Linked DNA regions of Schizosaccharomyces pombe. The protein of the gene in region 2 purifies or fractionates together with the protein of the main gene of each other region. This does not show direct contact. Each region holds a gene or a part of one and is shown on either strand. Other genes may lie near its edges.

Region 1 (4,651 bases), on a different chromosome or scaffold from region 2:
TTCGTGCAACAGTCAGCTTTTAATTCCATTGCAACACTTGTTGAGATATCCTATACATTTAGCACGTGTTTGTAAAATGTTACGGAAATATCCATTTTTGAATGGAGATTTTCGGATGGCGGTCAAAACACTTGACGATTTTCGAGAGTTATGTTCTTATATAGACCAAGAAAAAGCCCGCGAGGAAAGTTATCAAGTACTTAGTGCACTGTGTGGAAACCAGGGTGTTGCGGTGGACATTCCAAGGCATATAAAATTTAAAGGGTCAGTTATTCCAGCTACTTCATTTATTTATGATTTTAATGCCTGCGTCTTTTGCGACGATGGATTGGTTGTTTGGACGAGGTATGTTAAAAAAATCGAAATGAAGGCCGTTTCGATAGAACAATGTCTTCGAGTAGATGAACTTTCAAACTCTATTTTAGTTTGTACTTTAAATATGAAGGGGAAGCTTTTAAACCGTCATTTGGCACCTCAAACTATGGCTGCTTCTGTTTTTCTTAAGTGGTATCATGAAAGAGCTGGTATCTCAAATGGCAAAGAAAATAAATTAAACCGATTGAAAGTTGTCAATGCTAAAACATAAACTAATTTCTTTCTTTTTCTTTTTTTAATATTAAACGATATTTTTTTTCTATTATTCACTCGTTACCTAAAATTTGCTGAACATAATGACAAATATGTTAAACCAAAATTTATTGTCAACTTACTTCTTCATTCTTGTTATCCTTGTCTTACCAACTTTGAAAGATATTTTCCTCAATTAAAAATTTACTTCTCACCTTCGTTACCTTAATATGGGCATTATTATTAACCAAATAGTTTAAATAATATCTTTATCCTTTAATAATATTTATTGGTAATTCTTGTTTACAATTCCTCGTCTTTTTATTGAAGTGAGAGTCTACTATATATGAGTTTAATAACTAGCTACACAAGTTAGCAAAATAATATTGTAGTTCGTCTTACTGGGAAAGACATACATGTGCATAATGAGAATAAACCTTAAAACAAGCAACAAATAAAACTAGTCCTCTTCGTCTGCATTGTCATCTTCGAAAAGAGTTGAGTACGAGGTAGCGTTTGAAAGTGACCTGCCTTTACATTTCTCTAAATGTGCAGCATATCGAGACGCAGCTATTTCACGCTTGCACATTAAACAAGAATAATAAGGGACATTTGAAGGAGTTTGGACGCTATTACCATATATATCGTAGCCTGGCTTGGTACAATACTGCCGACAATGCTTGTTACAGGCCGGACATTTTTGAAGAGATAATTTAGCATTCTTGTGGACTGTTTGGGTCAATTCATGGGTGTAGTCTTTCAACAAATTCTCAAATATAGTGCAAGACTGATTGAAATTTGAAGTTAGTGAAAAAGTTGTACAAGTGTTAAATTCAGCCACCTATTGACAATTGTTTTTCTATTAATCTTCCTTTTGTCTTTAAAGTACTACAATTTGACATGTTAAATAAACCGCGATCGATTAAATGATACATGCTTTCATAAACAAGCAAATCTTTTTTTGGCGAGGAAGTTTAATTTTGAAAGGAAAAACAATTACACATAGAGAAATCAGGTACTTACAATACCGGCAAGAGAAGCAGGCTGCATCTTTAAACCATTCTTTGGGAATCAAAAGTTGAGTATTCCAAGCAAGTTAGTATTGTTACAAAGCCGGTGATTCCAAAATTTCAAACAATGAGGAAAAAGATGCAACTGATCCGTATGGGAAATTGAGATTTACAGAACGGAAGTGCTTCAAATTGATGTCTTTATTATAAAAATTATTAGGCTCAAATACTTGGTGTTACATCTTTAGCTTGCGTAGGAGCTGACTTTATTTGCTAATAGTGAGTGTTGATATAATTTGCTAATTTCATACTTCTCTGACTCCAAGAGCAATGCAAAATACACACGCTCATGAAATAAAATATCAGTAATCCACTTGCGCAATTGGAAAAAACAACGCCTACAACATAGTACCTAAGTTTCTCCCTTTTACAATTCATCAAATCATACATTCTTCAGCTCGACTAAGGATAAATTGTATTCATTAAATACATAAAATGTTAAAAGTCATAAAATAATTCGCTAGTAAATTAAGCAAAAGGCTAAACTGTATGCCGGGATGCCATCAATCTCAAATGATTTAAATAATACAATACAGGCAAGGATATTAGAAGTAGTTTTTGATTATAGACAAAGTGTTTGTTACCAAAAAAGAGCCAAATTTAGATATGGCATTTTGGCAACCCGAGCAATAAATAAAGACATAGCTTCGAATGATGAAAAATGAAGGATATACAAGCGAAATGCCGAAGAAAAAAAGAAATAGACACAAACAAAAAGGCGATGCGATGTTGGGGTAACTACGATTGAATCGACACATCGTCATTATTGGCATTAGAGGGTGGGATATTTAAATTTCTGGTTGAGATATTGGATAACGAGGATGAGTAGTTGGGTACTGAAGAAAGAGCTCGTTGCACACTTGAATTTGACCTTTGACCATTAAGGGAAGATATCGGAACAGATTGTGTAGATACTGGAGATTCATTTGGAGCATTATTGAAAAGCCACAAATATATTTTCCCATCTTCAGACCCACTGACTACCTCACAGTCTCCAAGAGCAACCGAGGTTACAGGCTCCGAGTGATTCTTCAACGTGTGAACACATTCACAAGCCTCCCAAACTTTAACAACACCATCATGAGCTCCCGAGATTAAACGAAGGTGATCTGCCGCAATTTCCCATACACCTTCAATGTGTCCAAACAATGTATGAACACATTTTTTCTTCTCGATGTCCCATTGCTTTATTGTGCCGTCCAATGAGCAAGAAAACAATCGCGAATCAGCAAGAGCTAAACTCTGGACAGGGCCAATATGAGCACTGAAAGTATGAAGACACGTGTTTGTTTCCAAAGACCAAATCTTGATGGTGGAATCGTCGGAACCGGAAAGAACAAGTCCACGATCTCTAATTATGCGGACAGAATTGACAGGTCCTGTGTGACCGCGTAAAGTGATACGCTTACCGCCAGAAAAGTGCCACAGCTTAACTGTACAATCTGCGCTTCCAGAAACAAGTAGCGTAGAGTCAAACGTTAAGCATAAAACACTATCCGTATGACCATGTAAAATAGAAATGCATTCAGAGGTTCTGTAGTTCCATATACGAATAGTTTTGTCCATTGAACCGCTGATAAGTTTACACTGATCGAATTGAAGGCACGTAACACCACTGCTATGACCTTCTAATAGAGCAACTTGTTGAAAGGTAGCAAGATTCCATAATCGTATAGTGGCATCATAACTGCCGCTAGCAAGAATGTTCCTTACAAGTTGTAGACACATAACACCGTCAGAGTGGCCACTGAGAACAACCTGGCGACAACGACCATGCCGCCAGTTGCATTCAACTCTACAACGTTCAGCATATACTTCTTTCCATGGTCTGGTTTTAAAGGGAAGAAAGAATTTGGAATCGGAGTTCGGAGAAGGTGGTTTGACAGAAGAAATAGTCTCTTCATTACTCGACGTCGGATAATCGTCCAGCTTTGCTTTTTTGACGGGTGAAGATTCATGAGCCTGATCGACGCCTCTTTTTGTAAGTCGTTCATAACGTTTTTGTATGGAAGCCTTTGCTGCGTATAAGGTATTTCTTTCGAGTAACGGAAGTCCCCAGCCGCATTTTTCACATTTTCGATTAATATGTTGTTCACACATCCGATGCCATATAACATCATCATCAGCAAGTTCTTTCCAATGTTTACTGACTTGTGCAGCTTGGCAAAGGCTTCTAGCATCCAAAAAAGATAAAATGCGAAACGAAATTTCAACAGGGAGCAAAGAGAGAAAATCTAAGCGTACTAGAGAATCTAATGTGCTGGAGGCAAAAGAGAGAAGAGAGGACGAACAGTTGTTTAAAATGCCTTGCAAAGCGAGTTTACGTTCGCTGCAAGAAGCCTCTGAAAAAGCAGCCCATACAGCTTCGACACGTTGACGACTTTTTTCGCTTAAACCAGACAATTCATTATGCATTGAAGAAATATTAAAAGCCGAAACGGAGATGGATTGATCACCTTCTTTTTTTTCCAGTAAATGGCGTTGCCATAGCTCTGCTCGTGGTGCAAGATTATCAGAGGGTTCGGAAGTGGGAACAGATTCATAACCTGTAGTCATTTTTTTTATAAAGGTTAAATATTAAGTATGAAAAGAAAGAAGGGACAATGCAAAGGTTGATTTTAGGGTAAAAAAAAATAGAGTGGATAATAGCACAAAAAAATGTTATCACGGATGATGCGGGTAGATGTTAACAGAATGAAACCAGAAATGATTTGGATAAGATGATAGTAGTATAAAAGACTATAGTAATACAAAAAAAAAGGAGAAAACTATATGAAGATTGTAATAATTATGATAAGCGGGGAAAGTCAACTATCGAACCTTACAAAGTAATTTGTAAGTAAATCGAAAATTTAAAGTGCTAGCTGATAGAAATATATGGAAACAAGAAAAAAAATTTAAAAAGAGACACAAACTATGTAAAAGATAAACGAAAAAGAAACTAGAAGATCAAATATAAAATACACACAAACTCGTTGCTTTGGCAACCTTCAGTAAAAAGATGAAGAGTTGAG
Region 2 (6,510 bases):
GTTTGAATCATTTTGTCCATTCCCTTCGGTCCCAAACTAGTTCGAATCGCATCGGCGACTGAGCGAGCCGCCATAATATTTGAAAGCCGAACCTCTTGAGGCTTTTCTCGGTCTTGAAATGCCACGGGAACCGTTGCTGCTTTCGACATTGTGTTTGGTGAAGGAGAGCAACTCTACTTCGTTTGCTTTACCTTGGGACTTCTTCGTGCACTGTAAACTACTGTACTCGAAGTTTTGTTATTGTATACAATTTAATGTGTCGTAACGTGTTAATGCTATCTTTGTTTTCGAAATGGATCAAGCACTGGTAGCAGCTTCAATACCGCGGAGTAATTAAGAATACGGTAAAGCGTTTGCTGAAATATTTTAAAAAAACCTTTATTAGAATGTTAAACTAATACTAAACGTTGCACTATTCGTGTTAAGTGTTTAGAGTTCGATTGTGCTCGGATGCAAAATGAACTTGAACACTCCCCACTCTTTTACAAAAGTGATATAACGCTCTAAAAATGAATTCCATAAACGTAAAGGTATCCTCTAATGAATTAGTTTCACGAAATATCCATGTGTATTTTTAACCATCTCTAACGAATAGACATTACGCTGGTCAGCCCTCGTCCTTGGCTTAGGTGCTGGAATGTACGAGCATAGGAGTCATATTCAATGTCAAAAGCAGAAGGAGATTGATGAGAACTATCACCGACAAGAATCCTTGATTGAATCTGCCAAAATTGCATATCTCAATACTAAAAACACTCCTCCTAAAGGTTAGTTTCTTTGCATCTCAACGAGTTTAACGAACTTTGGCGGGTGCAATAGTACTCATTTTTTTTTCGCTTTACTAATACTCAATTTAGAAGACTCTATGTTGCCTAATTTGAAGAAAGATTCAGAAGATTTCGATATGGATGAATTTGTCAAAGAACTTGAAAAAAATGTTTAAATTCATCCTCTTGAACCACGAATGGGTAACCCTTATCACACTACAAATCGATATACTAAACTAGTTTGTTTATTTTTGTGTGCACTTTTGGTGCGATTAGTATTTGCTGATTGTCCGCGTCAACTGATTAATCAATTTAACGTTTTGCTTAAGTTATTACTAAATTCGAATTGTAACATGGTAACTTATCTTACTTTACTCACTTTATTATAATGAAGATGATCCACATGATTTGTTTTTTTGAGAATTAATTCTCTATAAGTATTCCATTAAATAGACTTGTAAGCTTTTTTCATACCATTTTAGTTCACATGGATATCATTATCTATTTAAATATGTATAGTAAACATTCATTCCAAAAAAAAAAAAAGACAGGAAAGAAAAGGAGGTAATATATATGTTATATATATTTTTATGGGTTATTTAACATAACAAGAACAAATATCGTTCTAAAACAGAATGCACAATTATCAAAGGTATCAAAGGTATATTGCCTTCCCCAAATGTTTCAATACATCAAAGTTGCATGAAAAAAAAAGCAAAAGTAAAATAAACGAAAGCGGTTCATAATAGAAACCTTAATCTTTCAAATCTTGGCTACTGCTAGCCATGCTATCCTTACGTCGACGACGCTCTGAAATCACACTTAGTCCAGGGAAAAAGGCACCATGGTCATGACCATCATGAAGAGACAATCTACTGCTTATTGTAGCGTCGTTCGTACGAGGAGAAGCCGACAAAGGGTCGCTAGTACCAGTCATAGCATCATATTTATGGATCAATTCCTCCAAATCATGGTTTGAAGGGTGCTTGGATGGTTGGACATGCTTGTTCACTAACGCAATTTCTTGTGTCAAAGTCAAAGCACGATAAGCCAGGCGAATTATAGGTACATTAGTACGATCAATATCCTGAAAATCAACACCCAACCAACGTTCTTTAAGCTGACGTTCGAAACCGGATTGTAAAACACTGTTTCTAGCCAATTCGCACATATCGACAGCAGAGAGCTTATAAATTTGTGCGGCTACAGCATATTCCTCAATCAGAGGCTCTCGGGTAAATGCAAATTGTAAAGGATCATCAGTGGAAAGACTAACATTAAGACCTCGTTTGAAGTACGTCAAAAATGGATTCTTATCATATGCAAGAAACAGTGCATTGTTTGATAATGGAGACATTGCGATAGGGATCTGATCAAGGTACCAAAGATACTGAAGAAAAGGAACTTTTCGTAATAAAATACCATGGTTAATACCGTGACTTAATAAGAAAGCACTGGCCAAATGATCCGTATCTCCAGCTTCACCACAATGAGGACGAAGGACAAAGGTGTTAAAACCACGTATTTTTCTCCAGCTATTCAAGCTAGTCATGTTGGCATACATGTAATATAACCAATAACTATATGGAGGATTTAAATTAATATCCCAATGTTTCGGATAAGGGAATTTGCGAAAGGTACGGCGTTCAGGTTTACTTTCGTCGTCAACAGAGTCAAACCCGATAACACGTTGCAAAAACACGTGGAGTTTAGGATGTGTACGAGGATCCTTTGTAACTTCGAACAGTGGTTCAAAGACATTTCTGACGACCTCTTCAAAAGTCTCAACAATACCGGACTTCTTATACACATCATACAAACGAGGTACTTGAATAAGCCAACGAACGTTGGGAGAAAAAAGTTCGTTATCAATAATCCAGGCTGCAAGCTTATCCCATTCTTCACGATTCCGTCCATAGATAGAAATACGATATTCAGCCATTTGGTACTTTTGAGTTCTAAGGTCGGTGAACACCTCTTTGGTAAGTTCAGCAAGATATCGACCGTTAATATCATTATCGGTTTTCAGGAAAATAGTACGCAAACGAGATTCACCAATTGGATTATATTTCAAGTTAAATTTGTCAAATCGGTGAAAGGTGTCAGTATGAGCATGCATATCCAACGTGTCTATACTAAGGTCATACGAAGTCAACTTCAACGAATCAAATACTTCTTGTAAAGTCAGGAATTTGCCATCACGCCAGATAACTTTTTCATTAGGGCATTTACGAAGTTTAGCTTTGATAAATCGCAAGAGATGTTTTTGATTCGCAAGAGCAGAATGATGGACGTGAGTATCTACCTTACGTACATTGTAAAAATCACGATGGGGTACTTTTTTGGTATCTGCCAGCTCTTGATACTCGTTTAGCAGCATATACATATTCCAGCGTCCTTCTAGATACTGCAATCTACGGAAGGAAAATGATTTACTAGGACCATCCGATGAAGCCGAAAGAAGGAATTCTAAATCTATATAATAATCGCGGATAGTAGGAATATGAAAAGACGGTGTCCCCGCAATGTATGCGCTGTCATTCTCATAAACTTGAAATATACCTTGATGATCCATGTGATATTCCATTTCATTTTCAATTCCAGGAATTTTGCAATCAGCAAAATTAAACAAGCCCGTATCATCTTCACCTTCTTTGCAATCAGGGTATATAATCCATGAATCATCGTCAATGGGATTGTCAAGCTCACCCTGTAAGCTCACCCTAATATATTTGTGTCGCATGTCCATACATTTATGGATTGACAAATAAATTTCTGCCAATTCATCAGAGAAAAGAGGGTCAGTCGTTTCCATGTTTCCTGGATCGGTTTCAGGGCCACCAACACTAGAAACTACAGCATTGTCTCCCTGCTGCACATGGGGCATATGAATGCTACTTATTTTGCTTTGAAGCGTATCATTCAAAAGCTTTCCACTTCCAGGACCAGCTTTACTATGGTTTACATCATCACTATTCCTTACTGTGCTAGCCGAGACTGATGGTCGTCTTGGGCTTTTAGAGGGCAGTCCATCCCGACCGTTTTGTGTTCCATTCATAGCCAGAAATTTAGCATCTTGCTAGGTTATGGTTAGTTAAACACGTAATATATCGAATTGGGGGGTTTTCACTTAAATACTTACATGTCTTAAAGAGCGCTCATAAGCATAATCAAAATAAGGAGTGTCTTGAGACGAAGGCGCTGCTGCAACTTCTTCGTCTCGATTAGCACCAGGATTCGTTACATATCGTTTTAAAGGAACAGTTTCAGCTGCAACAGCTGGGACTTGATCATCTTCTTGTTCCATGTTCATTTCAGCTCTAAAAATTAGAATAAAAAAGAATCCCAAAAATTGGCCTCTTCAAGAAGAATGCGACGAAAACAACACCTTTTTGAGAGGAGCGCGTGCACTTGCGGGTGAAGAGCCGTTTATATACGGAAGTAAACCACATAGTGAGAGAGGACGTACAGACATTATGTTGTTTAACGAAATAGAGCGATGATTTATTGAGGCAAACAAAATTAAGGGCAATTGAAATGTTTAGAATTCTGGCCAAACTGAATTTGTTTAAATCGAATGATTTTTAATATTTTCATTCAATAAATTAAAGAGAAAATTGACACTCATTTTACGAGTAACTTTTGTTTTTACGGTTTCAGTAGCGATCAATATACATCCTATCTTTTGTATCACTTGCACATTTAAGTAGACAATACAATTTGAAATCGAAATTGTAGCAATAGTACGAACGGTAAAATAACCTATAAACCATTTTACTTAAGTTCGCTCTGAGGAAAAGAGCTTAACAGTTACTAGATTTCGCTTTACACCTCGAGCGTAAAAAAAATAGAAACAAAAATAATTGAAAAAACTCAAGCAAAAGATATGGATATCAATGACATCTTTTCATAGCATCATTATCATTATACCAAACCATGATAGACATGGGATGAGTTCAATTTGACAAGGAAACAGAGAGAACTGAGGCTCCATACAAGTATTTAGCTGCGCTTAATAAGACTGCAGGAAAAGAAGTGAAATTTTCCAAACAAGGAGAAAATCCCATCAATAACACACGTAGGAAGGAACCGTGATACTGTGACCATGAAAAAGGTGCGACAACCAACATGGCGAGTTGGAGAGGGCCAGCAACCAAGCAAGGAGTCAAAAATTTTGTTTAGAACCTTACGTTCCGTACACAACGAAGGAGGATAATTGCTTTTACCTGGAGAGCTAGAATGATCGTAATTCAAAAAGCTGAGATTTCCAAGTTTGATACAAATAACCTGTAAGCCCGTTTCACGCTTGAGAGTGCGCAAGAAAGTTTCAATGGAAGAAGAAAGAATAGATGGAACAGCATAATTGGGAGGCTCATAAGCGGATAATATACCATGAGACAAGCCAATGATTCTGGCCTTTTGACTTTTCAAAAGAGGAATCATTCGAGAAACGTTAGAGAAAGATTCACTGAGTTGTTGAAAAGCACTGATCCAAGCATCTTTTCCAATGTTCTCAATTGGAGTGTACAAAGAATCTCCTGTGGGAACGAGAATAAGACCACGTAGGCGCAAAGCATACTCCTTAGGGCCAGATTGATTGGAAAAAGACAAAAGGAAGCGTTCAACAGCCTCATTATGAGTAACAATCAAAGATTGAATGTAAGGGCGTTGTTGGAGAGAAACAGTAGCTGCTTCAGATGCATCGCGAACAAGAACAACGACGATAAAACCACGACGATCCAAATCGTGAGCAATTACTGAGGCGAGAGGGTTCCACGCAGATAAGACAACAACTTGGGTTTTTTGGTGGTTGGGTGCACGTGGAGCACGACGCTTGCGTACATAATCATAGCGTTTGTAATAGGATAATCCAGCAAGGAACAAAGCGGCCGATCCTAAGCCAACTGATACTCTATTTTGATAAAGAAATTCTCCCAATCTTCCCTTGGCACTGTTTGTAGTATGAACTGTAACAGGTTGAGGGTTACTAGTTTTTTCATGAGCATAGTCAATGATTCGCTTGCCGTAATCCTTAACATTAGAGACTAAATCGGCAGCCCAGCGTTCAGGATTCATTTTTTAATGTTATTCTACCTTTTTGATATGATAATTCGTTTTCGTAGCAATTGGATTAGATTTCCAGGCAAAAAAACACTTCAATTTTCTCCCTGATATAATGTTTGAAGAAGGAAACAATGCAGGATGAAATTGAAAAATATTTAGCAATTTCAACAATAAATACTATCACTTGAGGAATTCACAAGTAATACTTCAAAAAGCTAAAGAATTCTAAAACTTGGAATTAATGAAGTGGTGAGTGGTGGTTGAGAACAGGTCGCGAATATTGGAAAACACCATGATGTCGTGCTAACTTGATCCTAAATCGCAATTCTATTTTATGGCAGTAAAGATGATTCAAATCGAATGCAAGTTTTAATATTGAAAGTTTATCGAAGTTAATCTCACATCAGGCTAATAGGAAGCTATGTTGCTAAAAACATATTGTAAGTAAATGATAGTATCTGTTCATAAAAGGTTTGATGTTTTGCGGGAATTGAGCGATGGCATTATAAAAAAATGAGGATTAATGGCTTTAGAGATTGACTAATGGGAAGGATAAAGGATACCAAGGATATGAGAGAACGGATGGATGATTAGTATTTATTATGAAATTCGCGTTTTCATTGTAGATGAGAAGTCCGATTGAAGTATTGACCTTACTTCTCTAAAGCATGTACATATG
Region 3 (5,472 bases), on a different chromosome or scaffold from region 2:
TGTAAGTTCGTGATATGATTGTTCAAGTGCCAAAACATGATTTTTGCCCATTCGTGTCTCACTTTCCACATTGCTAATCTATGTTTTTTTTATAGAAAGATTTTTTTCAACTAAAGGAGGTGGAAAAGCTGGGCTCTAAAAAGCAAATCGTTTTGCAAACTGTAAAGGACGTTTTACAGTCTCTCGTTGACGACAATATCGTCAAAACGGAAAAGATTGGCACTAGCAATTACTACTGGTCTTTTCCCTCCGATGCTAAACGTTCAAGAGAGTCAGTTCTCGGATCTCTTCAAGCTCAACTTGATGATTTGAAACAAAAATCTAAAACTTTAGATGAAAACATTAGTTTCGAGAAATCCAAAAGGGATAACGAAGGAACCGAAAATGATGCCAATCAATACACTTTGGAACTGCTACATGCAAAAGAATCAGAACTAAAACTTCTTAAAACACAACTTTCAAATTTAAATCACTGTAATCCTGAAACCTTTGAATTAAAAAATGAGAATACTAAAAAGTACATGGAAGCTGCCAATTTGTGGACCGATCAAATCCATACTTTGATAGCTTTTTGTCGAGACATGGGTGCCGATACCAATCAAATTCGTGAGTATTGCAGCATTCCAGAGGATTTGGACGATCTGCAACTACCGATTTTGTGAACTTGACATGCTTCCTTAATTCAAAGAGTTGTTTTCCTTATTAATATTTTAAAATTTTATACATTTTAACAGTTACATATAAAATAGCTTACTCGACGACAAGACTTAGCTTTTAAAAGATAAAATTATAATTAGTTGGAATAATATTAAACGAAACAAAACAAAAGTCCAAATTCCTCAAACTTATAGTATTTGTTAACTTTGAAAGAAAAAAAGCATGTTTCTTTTTTTATAGTTTTAACTTTTTTTATAAATTTACGTAAGGTCATTAATTAAAATGCGACTGTTGTAACGGTTCCAAATCCAATGCCATTTCTGGCCTCAACAATATGAAATCTAAAAGCTTCTTCATGAGTTAGATTATCGAAGTGATGATGTTTCATAACCACATAAATAAGGAACCTTTGAGTCAATTACTTTACATGGTTCATAATGATTGTTCATGAACGGATATCTGATCGCATAATCTAACTCAATTTTCCGTTTTAACAGTCATTTCATCACTGTATAGGATTTGACGCTCATGGTAAAATAATAGGTAACTATAATCTGGTTAGTATGTAAAAAAATAACAGCAAAGAGCCTACGCTTGAGAATTTAAGACCTCCGATTCCTTTACTTCCACAATTGTGGTGTCATCCAGCAAAAACCACTACAAAAATTAGTAAAAATTTCCATAAAAAATTCAAAAAAAATTTAATATACTTGATTTTGGTAGTATGTATAGGCAATATAGTGCCCTGTGTCGAGAGTTCCTTTATGACACACAACTGAGTATAATTGATAATCCACATCATCTTGATTAAAGTTGTAGCGCATTCTTAAAAATGCTGGATAAGATACTTGCTTATCTATTTTAGTTGACATGGCAAAGTTATTTTGTTCAAATCGTTTCAATTGCATGCAAATAGTTGGAGGTAGTTTGTCAAAGACCAATTGTTTAATAGCATTTTTTGACCCGCAACTATGACAGCTATATTGAACTTTCTCTTTGGAAACAAACCTAAAATAATATTTGTTAAAAAATCTAAAAACGAGCAAATTTTACCTTTCCAAACATCCTTGAAGTGTTGGCTCATTGATGTCTAAACTAATGTCCATCAAAGGATCCACAGCCACCCGCTCCTTCTTGCAATCTAGGCATGTAACAACGTTTTTCAGAGATCCACTAAAAATACGATGAATAGGACAAGTGCACGGCATTGATGTTCCTCCTCCGCTTTCCGTATGCATTTGGTCCAGCAAGTATACAAAAAATTCGTGGCCATCTTGCTGGGAGTAACCACATAAAGATTTGCTGAGTTTCCACATAAGATTTAAGACAGCAGTGGGACCGTAAAAAGTAGATTTGTTTTTAGAATTATAAATAGATGAAAACATATCGTCAATGGCACAAGTCATGCAAGTAGGTCGCTTACAATCAGTAGAAGTATGAAACCCACTGAAAAACAAGTTTCGAACCAATGGATTATGCAAAATACTTTGTAAAATGACGCTCATGAAACAAGTAGCACCCAAGTTCTGGATCCCCCTCAAGCCTGCTGTTGCGCAAACTGGAGGGTATTTTCGATAGGCTTCTAAGCAAACCATTTGATTGTACTTCTCGGGAAGTCTCTTGTGATCACTTTGCCATGCCTTGATATTCTTGATCTTAAAACGAAGGGTTTCCAACTCGGTCTGATAAACGTAGTCTTGACAGCCAAAGCAGTAGGTATGGCCATTTTTTACATCCACGCCTAAGAATTAGTAATTGGTATTCGGGAATTGCATCCTAACTCGATATTCGCAAAAAGGTTTCGTTGCTAAATCAATAGCTATGTTTTCAACTAAACGTACCGATCATATGAGTGTGCTCCATTGCGTGTTCTTCACCATGATGTCCCCAAAGACATCCCACAGAATGACAACTCAAGCATCGAATACTCCGCTTGTTGATGCGTTTGCAAGTACTGCAGCGACGTGGGACAAACTAAATGAAAGAAATGTTAAAAGGAATCGAATGGAAAAAGAAAATTGAACTGTATGAAGTGTTGTTCACAAGCCTTACATGACAACTGAATATCTGGGTACAGATCTTTTGATAGTTTTCAACATCCGCCGGTTTAAGTTTAAGATGCTGGCAACCTTCTACATCCCCAGGCATCCTTGATACGTACAAAATTGGCCTTTCAGACTAAAAAGCATCTGCTTCGATGCAGGGTGAAACGACAACAATAGACGAACTCGCTATTCTGGCAAAAGAACATTATTTCTCTTTGCTTAAATTTGGGCAATTAAGGATGCGGTGTACAGCGTTAAGAGCCATAAAGTACTCATAGTGTCTGCACTACTAGATACCGATTTCGTATAAAGAGCTATCATAGCTACGCTAAGTCAATTGATAAAACACCAAAATAGATGTTCTTCGTAGTTCTTGAGTGTCCTTGGTTTTCCTCTTTAAAACATAAACTTGGTAAATTCCCATAGATTTGGCTGTTGAGTCACTGCAAAATAAAAAAAATTACTGCTAGTCCTTTAATCACGGTTGAATAGATGAAATTGTTAATTTTTTAAAAGCTTGGTCAAATTAGACTAATGCCTCTATTAACGTCGAACGTGTTTAAGTGTACGCTTATGTTTGTTGCCATGAAACGTTTGCAGGGCTAAATATAAAACCATATATGACTATTTACCGTGAGCATCTTTGTAATACAACCGAGTCACTGCAAGCAGGTACATGTACGAAAATTTTTGTCTATTACATTTGTATAGAATTTATTACTTAACAATTGACTAGGGGCAGATTTTTGTGCCGAAACAGTTTGTGTTACCCTAAATAGAGATTGTAGGGCAACAATACGTCTGCAGAAGTTCAAATATATATGTAGCAAATGAGTGTGACTTACTTAAAAATTGGTTTTTGATCAAGAAATAAAATCCTTTGGTGCTTTTTCTTTTTTATGTCTAGCCTTGTTGAATGTATTTTTCCATCACAATGTTGATCTTGTCTACTCAATAACACACTAGACTATGTTAAGTACACTTGCCCTTGCCCAATCTGCAATCGGACATCGTATTTTATTTTTGCATACTGAATTTACGTGTATTCGTAGTTTCACGAGTTAACGATTTTCGAATATCCAACTCTCATTGAACTTATAATAATCCGTAATCCTTTACCTTTTTTTTGATTACAAGTGTCTAATTAAGTTTTCTAAATCAAGAGAAATCAAAGATACAAGCAAAGCTTTTTTTCTTACGTACAATGAAGGGTTTAGGTCTAAGTACGAGAACCTTTAATTGGAGCTCACTTTCTTCCATTCTTTTACCAAGAATTCCTTTAGCTACTACAAAAGCCGATTCCTTGATTTTGGCTGTTCGTCACGATAAACAAGTTTTTTCTGAAGATTATCGACAAGTTGTTGACCAGTATTTTGAAACATCTCCCAAAAAAAATGACATTCGTCTCTTTTGGAACACTCAGGGTTTTGTTCGTCTTGCCATAGTCCAGCTTGAAGAAAACGTTTCTGAAAAGTCCGTTCGTTCAGCTGCTGCAGAGGCAGCTAAGATTTTAAAGTCGAATGGTGCAAAGTCGATAGCTGTCGATGGTATGGGTTTTCCCAAGGATGCTGCCTTGGGTGCTGCCTTGGCCACGTACGATTTTTCTCTTCGTAGAGACCATTTGAGCGTCTATCAAGATGAAAAGGTGGTTGAAAAGGAAAATTTATTTACCTCTCCTGCTCCTGAAAGGTTAACTTTCCAATTGCTTAGCAACACATCTGAGAAGAAAACTGCAACCGCAGAGGAGAATGCTTTTAAGGTAGGTTTGATTGAAGCAGCTGCTCAAAACTTGGCTCGTTCTCTTATGGAATGTCCTGCTAATTACATGACTTCTCTTCAATTTTGTCATTTTGCTCAAGAGTTATTCCAAAATTCCTCAAAGGTTAAAGTATTCGTTCACGATGAGAAGTGGATTGATGAGCAAAAGATGAACGGTTTACTTACCGTGAATGCTGGTTCCGATATTCCACCTCGTTTCTTAGAAGTACAATACATTGGTAAAGAAAAATCAAAAGATGATGGATGGCTTGGTTTAGTTGGAAAAGGTGTAACGTTTGACAGCGGTGGTATCAGTATCAAGCCTTCTCAAAACATGAAGGAGATGCGTGCTGATATGGGTGGTGCTGCTGTTATGCTTTCCTCTATTTATGCCTTGGAACAACTTTCCATCCCCGTGAATGCCGTGTTTGTTACCCCTTTAACTGAGAATCTTCCTTCTGGCTCTGCTGCTAAGCCAGGAGATGTTATTTTTATGCGCAACGGTCTTAGTGTAGAAATTGATAACACTGACGCTGAGGGTCGTCTTATTCTTGCCGATGCAGTTCACTATGTCTCTTCTCAGTATAAGACCAAGGCTGTGATTGAAGCCAGCACATTAACTGGTGCTATGCTAGTAGCCCTCGGTAATGTATTTACTGGTGCATTTGTTCAAGGAGAAGAGTTGTGGAAGAATCTTGAAACTGCTTCCCATGATGCTGGAGACCTTTTCTGGCGTATGCCATTTCACGAGGCTTACCTCAAGCAACTTACAAGTTCTTCAAATGCTGATTTGTGCAATGTTAGTCGTGCCGGTGGTGGTTGTTGTACAGCGGCTGCCTTTATTAAATGCTTCTTAGCCCAGAAAGATTTGTCTTTTGCTCATTTAGACATTGCCGGAGTTATGGATAAGCAGCTTAATTCTTGGGATTGTGACGGCATGAGCGGACGCCCAGTTCGCACTATTATTGAAGTCGCTCGCAAGTATTAGCTTATTTATTTTCTTGGCTATATG
Region 4 (4,861 bases), on a different chromosome or scaffold from region 2:
ATTATGAAAGGTGCTGGTGACCATGTTAAAGTTAACGACCGTTGTGAACAGATTCGTGGTGTCATGGCCGACCCTAATCTCACTGAATACGAAAAAGAAAAGCTTCAAGAGAGATTGGCCAAATTGAGCGGTGGTATTGCTGTTATTAAGGTTGGAGGCTCCAGTGAAGTTGAAGTCAACGAGAAGAAAGACCGTATTGTTGATGCATTGAATGCTGTTAAGGCTGCTGTTTCCGAGGGTGTTCTCCCAGGTGCTGGTACCTCTTTTGTTAAGGCTAGTCTTCGCTTAGGAGACATTCCTACAAATAACTTTGATCAAAAGCTTGGCGTCGAAATTGTTCGCAAAGCTATCACTCGTCCCGCTCAAACCATTCTTGAAAATGCTGGATTAGAGGGTAACTTGATTGTTGGTAAACTTAAGGAGCTTTATGGCAAGGAATTTAACATCGGTTATGATATTGCTAAGGATCGTTTTGTTGATTTAAATGAAATTGGTGTTTTGGATCCCCTAAAGGTCGTACGTACCGGTTTAGTTGATGCTAGTGGAGTCGCCTCATTAATGGGTACCACCGAATGTGCCATCGTCGATGCTCCTGAAGAGTCCAAGGCCCCTGCTGGTCCTCCCGGAATGGGTGGCATGGGTGGAATGCCCGGTATGATGTAAGGTATCAAAAAAATGCCGACGTGGTTTTTTAAATTTTTACAATTTATTAAAAGCTTATGATTATGATGATTTAAATCCATTCAGAGAAATTGGCTTTAATTTTGCATTATGTTGTTGACCTTCGTAAAATTCTTTAGTTTCAAAACTAGTTAATGGGTCATACTTCTGTTAATGGATACTTATTGTTTTGAAACTTTTCATTCGGCTATTCTCATATGGTTGCTAATTGTACAATCAAACTCCTGATTTTGTTTAATGAACATAATGTTTTACCTTGTGTTTATTACACATTATAATTTCACTCTTTTTACGAATGGTATGACTTTCGACTTAAATACCAAGTTTTCACTTTTGTGTTTTTGTAAGTTCTGAATTGTGTTTACGTAAAGCATCAAGTTTCTTTATATTTCCTATACAGGTTTGTGGTGAGCTTTGAAATGGTTGAAGTATGTGAGAGATAAATGATTTTGAAAATGATGAAAATAACGCGGATGAAATATATGTCCGAGAGCGCAAAAAATGTGTGGATATTTCCGTTGCCTTCCTTCTGATTCAAAATTATTATATAACTTATATATTTTTAGCTGTCGTGCGAGTATCCCTACTATATTCTTTTTAGGGGATCTGTATAGGTCATATAAAGAAAATTAAAATGCATGATATTATGTTATCACTAGTATTGTGGTAAATTGTATTTTCAAAGTTATGATGAGAGGCAATTGTAAGTAATAAAGAAACATTGGTGCGGTGTAAATTTTAAATGAGCCTAGTAGTTGAAGAAAGCTCTCGACGAGCTCATGCCAATTTCACAGCCTTACATGAATTACTCCAGTTTTTGTAACATTTTAAGAAAAAGCGCGCCGTCACTGATGTTGTTGCCGTCTCTTTCACTTTTTTCTATTCTATGTCGTACCATATATAAAAGATACAGTGTACAGTAATGTACAATATGAGCTGAATTTAAAAATGTTGTATACTTTTTTGCTCCATACACTGATTTCGTAGCAAATAAACAAATAAACAGGTACCTTATAACTGTAAACGATTTATTACCCACGCCCTGCTTTCGCAAGTTAAATAGGAAGTTCTGGAGGAACAAAATCATATAAATAAAACCATAATCATCTGCTGCAAAGATTCGTGAGCGCTTCAAAAATATTTACATATATCTAAATCATCAGCACTTCCCCGGCATTAGTAACAACTTTAAAAGGAAAATAAATTTATTCAGACTTCACAGAGAAGTCAAGTTTATCCTCCTCCATTCGTGAATCCGAGGAGTTCTCTTCCTTTGGTTGATTCTGTTGGGTTTCATTACTGACAATCCAGTTGGGTTGAGTTAAACAGTACTTCTCCGGTGGAAGACGAAACCCATAAGACGGCTGAATTTGGGGTAAAGGTTTTCGATTTCTCTCCATAGCAAGCTCTAGTAAAAATTCTTTTGGTGGAGGTCCAGTGAAGGAGTGATTGATTTGAGAAGCAACAGCTAAACGTACATCTTCTACAGAAATTGGAGCATTTTGCCCACGTGAATGTTCCGCATAAACCTGTGAATCCTGGATTAACTGCTGTGTATATCTATGTGCAAATGTTAACAACTGCAAAGGCACTGTTTGAGAGTATGATGGAACACCCAGAGAGCTAAGTATTAGATGAATCAGACGAACGTCCTTAGGTCCTTTTATAGATTCATCACTTATTCCTGGAGAACTCATGATTTATTAAATACTATAAGTATATGCGAAGACAAATACGACTCCCGTTATTTTTCTGTTTTACCACCCAAAAAGATTTATGGTCGTTGCGAGCGTTGCAAATTGTATCCACTCAGAAGTTAGCGTGAGTCCACTGCACACCACTAAATAGCTTGTTTCAGAAAGTTTACAACAATGCTATTTTACATATACATTACTAAATATTTCGAGTCATAAAAATTTATCTAAGCAAACTTTAATTTATGCAGAAGGAATGATTTCATTAAAGCAATTCCTATCAAAGTTGCTTTTAGTATCACCAATGTTAATAATTTAGAAGTTACATAAAATTTTAGTATAAGCAGCGTAAAGTAAAAACTCTCATTTAGTAAATAATAAAACGAACAGGATCATTCATACAAAATCAATGATGATACAAATTTACTAAAAATTGGCAGTGTTTTTTTTTTACAAAAGGACATGGAAAAAGGTTGAGATTTTCAAATGAGAAGAGCATCTAAGAACTAATTTTCTGAAAAAGAGGCATCGGGAAAGAAATATTAAAGCAGAATGAAGTAGAAACAGAACCAAGTAATTTAAAGGAAACCAAAAAAATTCAAACCATAATTGAAAATGAACATAACAAGACCGTTAAAACAACTGAGTCACAAAAACGTATTTAAATCTCTAAATATGTATGGTGCTTTTTTTTTATACTCATGTCGTAATTGCAATGGGAAGTTAATGGGTAATGAACTTCTTAGTACGATTAAAGAGTAAATATATATCAAAAAGACGTTCGTTCATTTTAAGTACCCGAACAATATGTTAAATGTAATGTTATGATGTTTAAGAAGAATAAACGAGCAAAGGACCCACTGATAAATGGTTTTCTATTGAATGCGGCGATTGACATTTAAATATCCTTTTCCTAAGCATGACATCTCCACCTGGCCTGATTCGAGCTCTTTAAATCTATATTCGCAATTGAAAAGTGCCTTCACATCCCGAAGAAAAACAACTAATTGCGAAGTAATACCAAGTTGACCCACAACTATTGTGTTAACGTCTTCAGAGGATAGTAGCATCCCGGTTAAAGTTGAAGGTTGTGTATATGGATCTACACAACCACCAGATTCAATAACTTCCAATAATTTCTTTGCGCAAAAGGAACCAACATCTTCTGGTGTTTCTCCAGCTTCACCACAATGCTCGGCAGCATAAGAGCAACCCTTATTAGTTTCTGCAACTAAAGTGATAGAATACCCAGGACTGTTACCACATTCATCTCCACGGCGAACGTCTGTATAAATGAAAACATCGGGTATAAAAGGATTTAAAACTCCGCGAGCAGATTCTACTAAGCGATTTGCAAAAGCGGGAGATACTCTAGTTGAAGAAGCAATTCCTCTGATTCGGAAGACTCTTCCAAATTCTGAGAGACGAATGGGAGGTAAAGACTCTTTAATTACAGGACATAAAAAATTCACTTCACCTCCTCCGCCAGGAGCAGAACCACGCTTTAATATGCGCAACTCAAGTTCATCACCAACTTGAAAACGCTTTTGAAGAGAGGGTAATACACTAGTGCGCAAAACATCGACACCAATATCTTCATTACTGGAAGTAACTCCAGTAAGAGTAAGTGAAGTAGGGGTTTTTGCAAAAAGACAAAGTATTAGAATTGGTTCCAAAAAATAGCCTATCCCTTTGGTAGTTGGACAATCATGGACTACACGACCTCCTATAATATTTCCTGGGCGATATATGAACGAAGTACCTGTGTAAGAAATTTCTATGACACTGCCATTGGTCAACTTCTCCAACAGCCTTAAAAACGAAACCTGGTAATCTTTGACACCAGGATCGGCTTCATCTGGGTAAATTCCTTCAACTCGAATCGGAGTTCCCGAGAGAGTTGCAAGGACTAACCGATGCGTCAAATACTCACATCCTTTAAAGCGTTTGAGCTGACCGGTTGACATCACGAGTTTAACAATTCAAAATGAATGCAAAGCCCCGAATTATTTTAAAAACGCGTTTTTCGAGACTTTGATATTTCAATTCCTTTACAGGAAATTTTTAGTTTTGGTAAAAGAATTTCTACAGCGCAAGAGGTAGAATTGACCTCTCAGCTAGGAGTTGCCGTGGTAACCGTAAAGCTACTTGTTTACTAAATAAATGTAAACAATAAAAAAAGTACTGTATTTTTTAAAAAATTAACTGTTTTTACTACTAAAAGAAAGAAATATACTTTCTTATATAATATTTAACACATTAATAAAATCAAGTAATTTTATTTCTAGAACATAAAAAGCAATAAAACGATGATTGATTTTATGCTTTGAGAGTTTTGGTAATATATAAATACTTTTTTAAAATGCCAGAGAACACTAGAGGAAAGAATGATACAAAAACCTCTGAAACATTAAAAAAGTGAAACGTTAATATATGCGGTAAAAGCGTTTTAGGCTACGGGATTGAAATTGGATAGCTCAGCGTTA

Evidence for each region.
Region 1: the proteins of ada1 (region 2) and sgf11 purify together in Schizosaccharomyces pombe (affinity purification with mass spectrometry, with the first as the bait; one study listed by BioGRID). This does not show direct contact.
Region 3: the proteins of ada1 (region 2) and ubp8 purify together in Schizosaccharomyces pombe (affinity purification with mass spectrometry, with the first as the bait; one study listed by BioGRID). This does not show direct contact.
Region 4: the proteins of ada1 (region 2) and taf9 purify together in Schizosaccharomyces pombe (affinity purification with mass spectrometry, with the first as the bait; one study listed by BioGRID). This does not show direct contact.

What each region holds. Positions count from the first base shown.
Region 1 is NC_003424.3:1,370,691-1,375,341, forward strand, and holds sgf11 (SAGA complex deubiquitinating submodule subunit Sgf11), read right to left. Parts: upstream 1,781-4,651; 5' UTR 1,618-1,780; coding exon 1,591-1,617; exon of another isoform or gene 1,355-1,590; coding exon 1,028-1,354; 3' UTR 984-1,027; exon of another isoform or gene 931-983; 3' UTR 788-930; downstream 1-787. Other genes in the region: mug10 (Rho guanine nucleotide exchange factor), read left to right, coding at 1-586; F-box/WD repeat-containing protein Pof1, read right to left, coding at 2,376-4,193.
Region 2 is NC_003423.3:377,960-384,469, reverse strand, and holds ada1 (adenosine deaminase Ada1), read right to left. Parts: upstream 4,171-6,510; 5' UTR 4,081-4,170; coding exon 3,910-4,080; exon of another isoform or gene 3,847-3,909; coding exon 1,522-3,846; 3' UTR 1,170-1,521; downstream 1-1,169. Other genes in the region: chaperonin-containing T-complex delta subunit Cct4, read right to left, coding at 1-149; tim11 (F0-ATPase subunit E), read left to right, coding at 510-530, 596-767, 858-943; SPOM_SPBC106.03 (steroid dehydrogenase), read right to left, coding at 4,770-5,843. UniProt on the Schizosaccharomyces pombe protein: AMP deaminase plays a critical role in energy metabolism.
Region 3 is NC_003424.3:578,586-584,057, forward strand, and holds ubp8 (SAGA complex ubiquitin Ubp8), read right to left. Parts: upstream 2,896-5,472; 5' UTR 2,806-2,895; coding exon 2,710-2,805; intron 2,632-2,709; coding exon 2,499-2,631; intron 2,399-2,498; coding exon 1,711-2,398; intron 1,666-1,710; coding exon 1,368-1,665; intron 1,364-1,367; exon of another isoform or gene 1,315-1,363; coding exon 1,250-1,314; exon of another isoform or gene 1,205-1,249; coding exon 1,135-1,204; 3' UTR 768-1,134; downstream 1-767. Other genes in the region: protein Mcp7, read left to right, coding at 1-1, 96-662; ysp2 (peptidase family M17 cytoplasmic leucyl aminopeptidase yspII (LAP yspII)), read left to right, coding at 3,907-5,448. UniProt on the Schizosaccharomyces pombe protein: Histone deubiquitinating enzyme component of the transcription coactivator SAGA complex. SAGA acts as a general cofactor required for essentially all RNA polymerase II transcription.
Region 4 is NC_003424.3:335,909-340,769, reverse strand, and holds taf9 (SAGA complex/transcription factor TFIID complex subunit Taf9), read right to left. Parts: upstream 2,469-4,861; 5' UTR 2,379-2,468; coding exon 1,887-2,378; 3' UTR 1,007-1,886; downstream 1-1,006. Other genes in the region: protein Mcp60, read left to right, coding at 1-663; rcl1 (rRNA processing protein), read right to left, coding at 3,251-4,342; cpn1 (caprin), read right to left, coding at 4,825-4,861. UniProt on the Schizosaccharomyces pombe protein: Functions as a component of both the DNA-binding general transcription initiation factor complex TFIID and the transcription coactivator SAGA complex.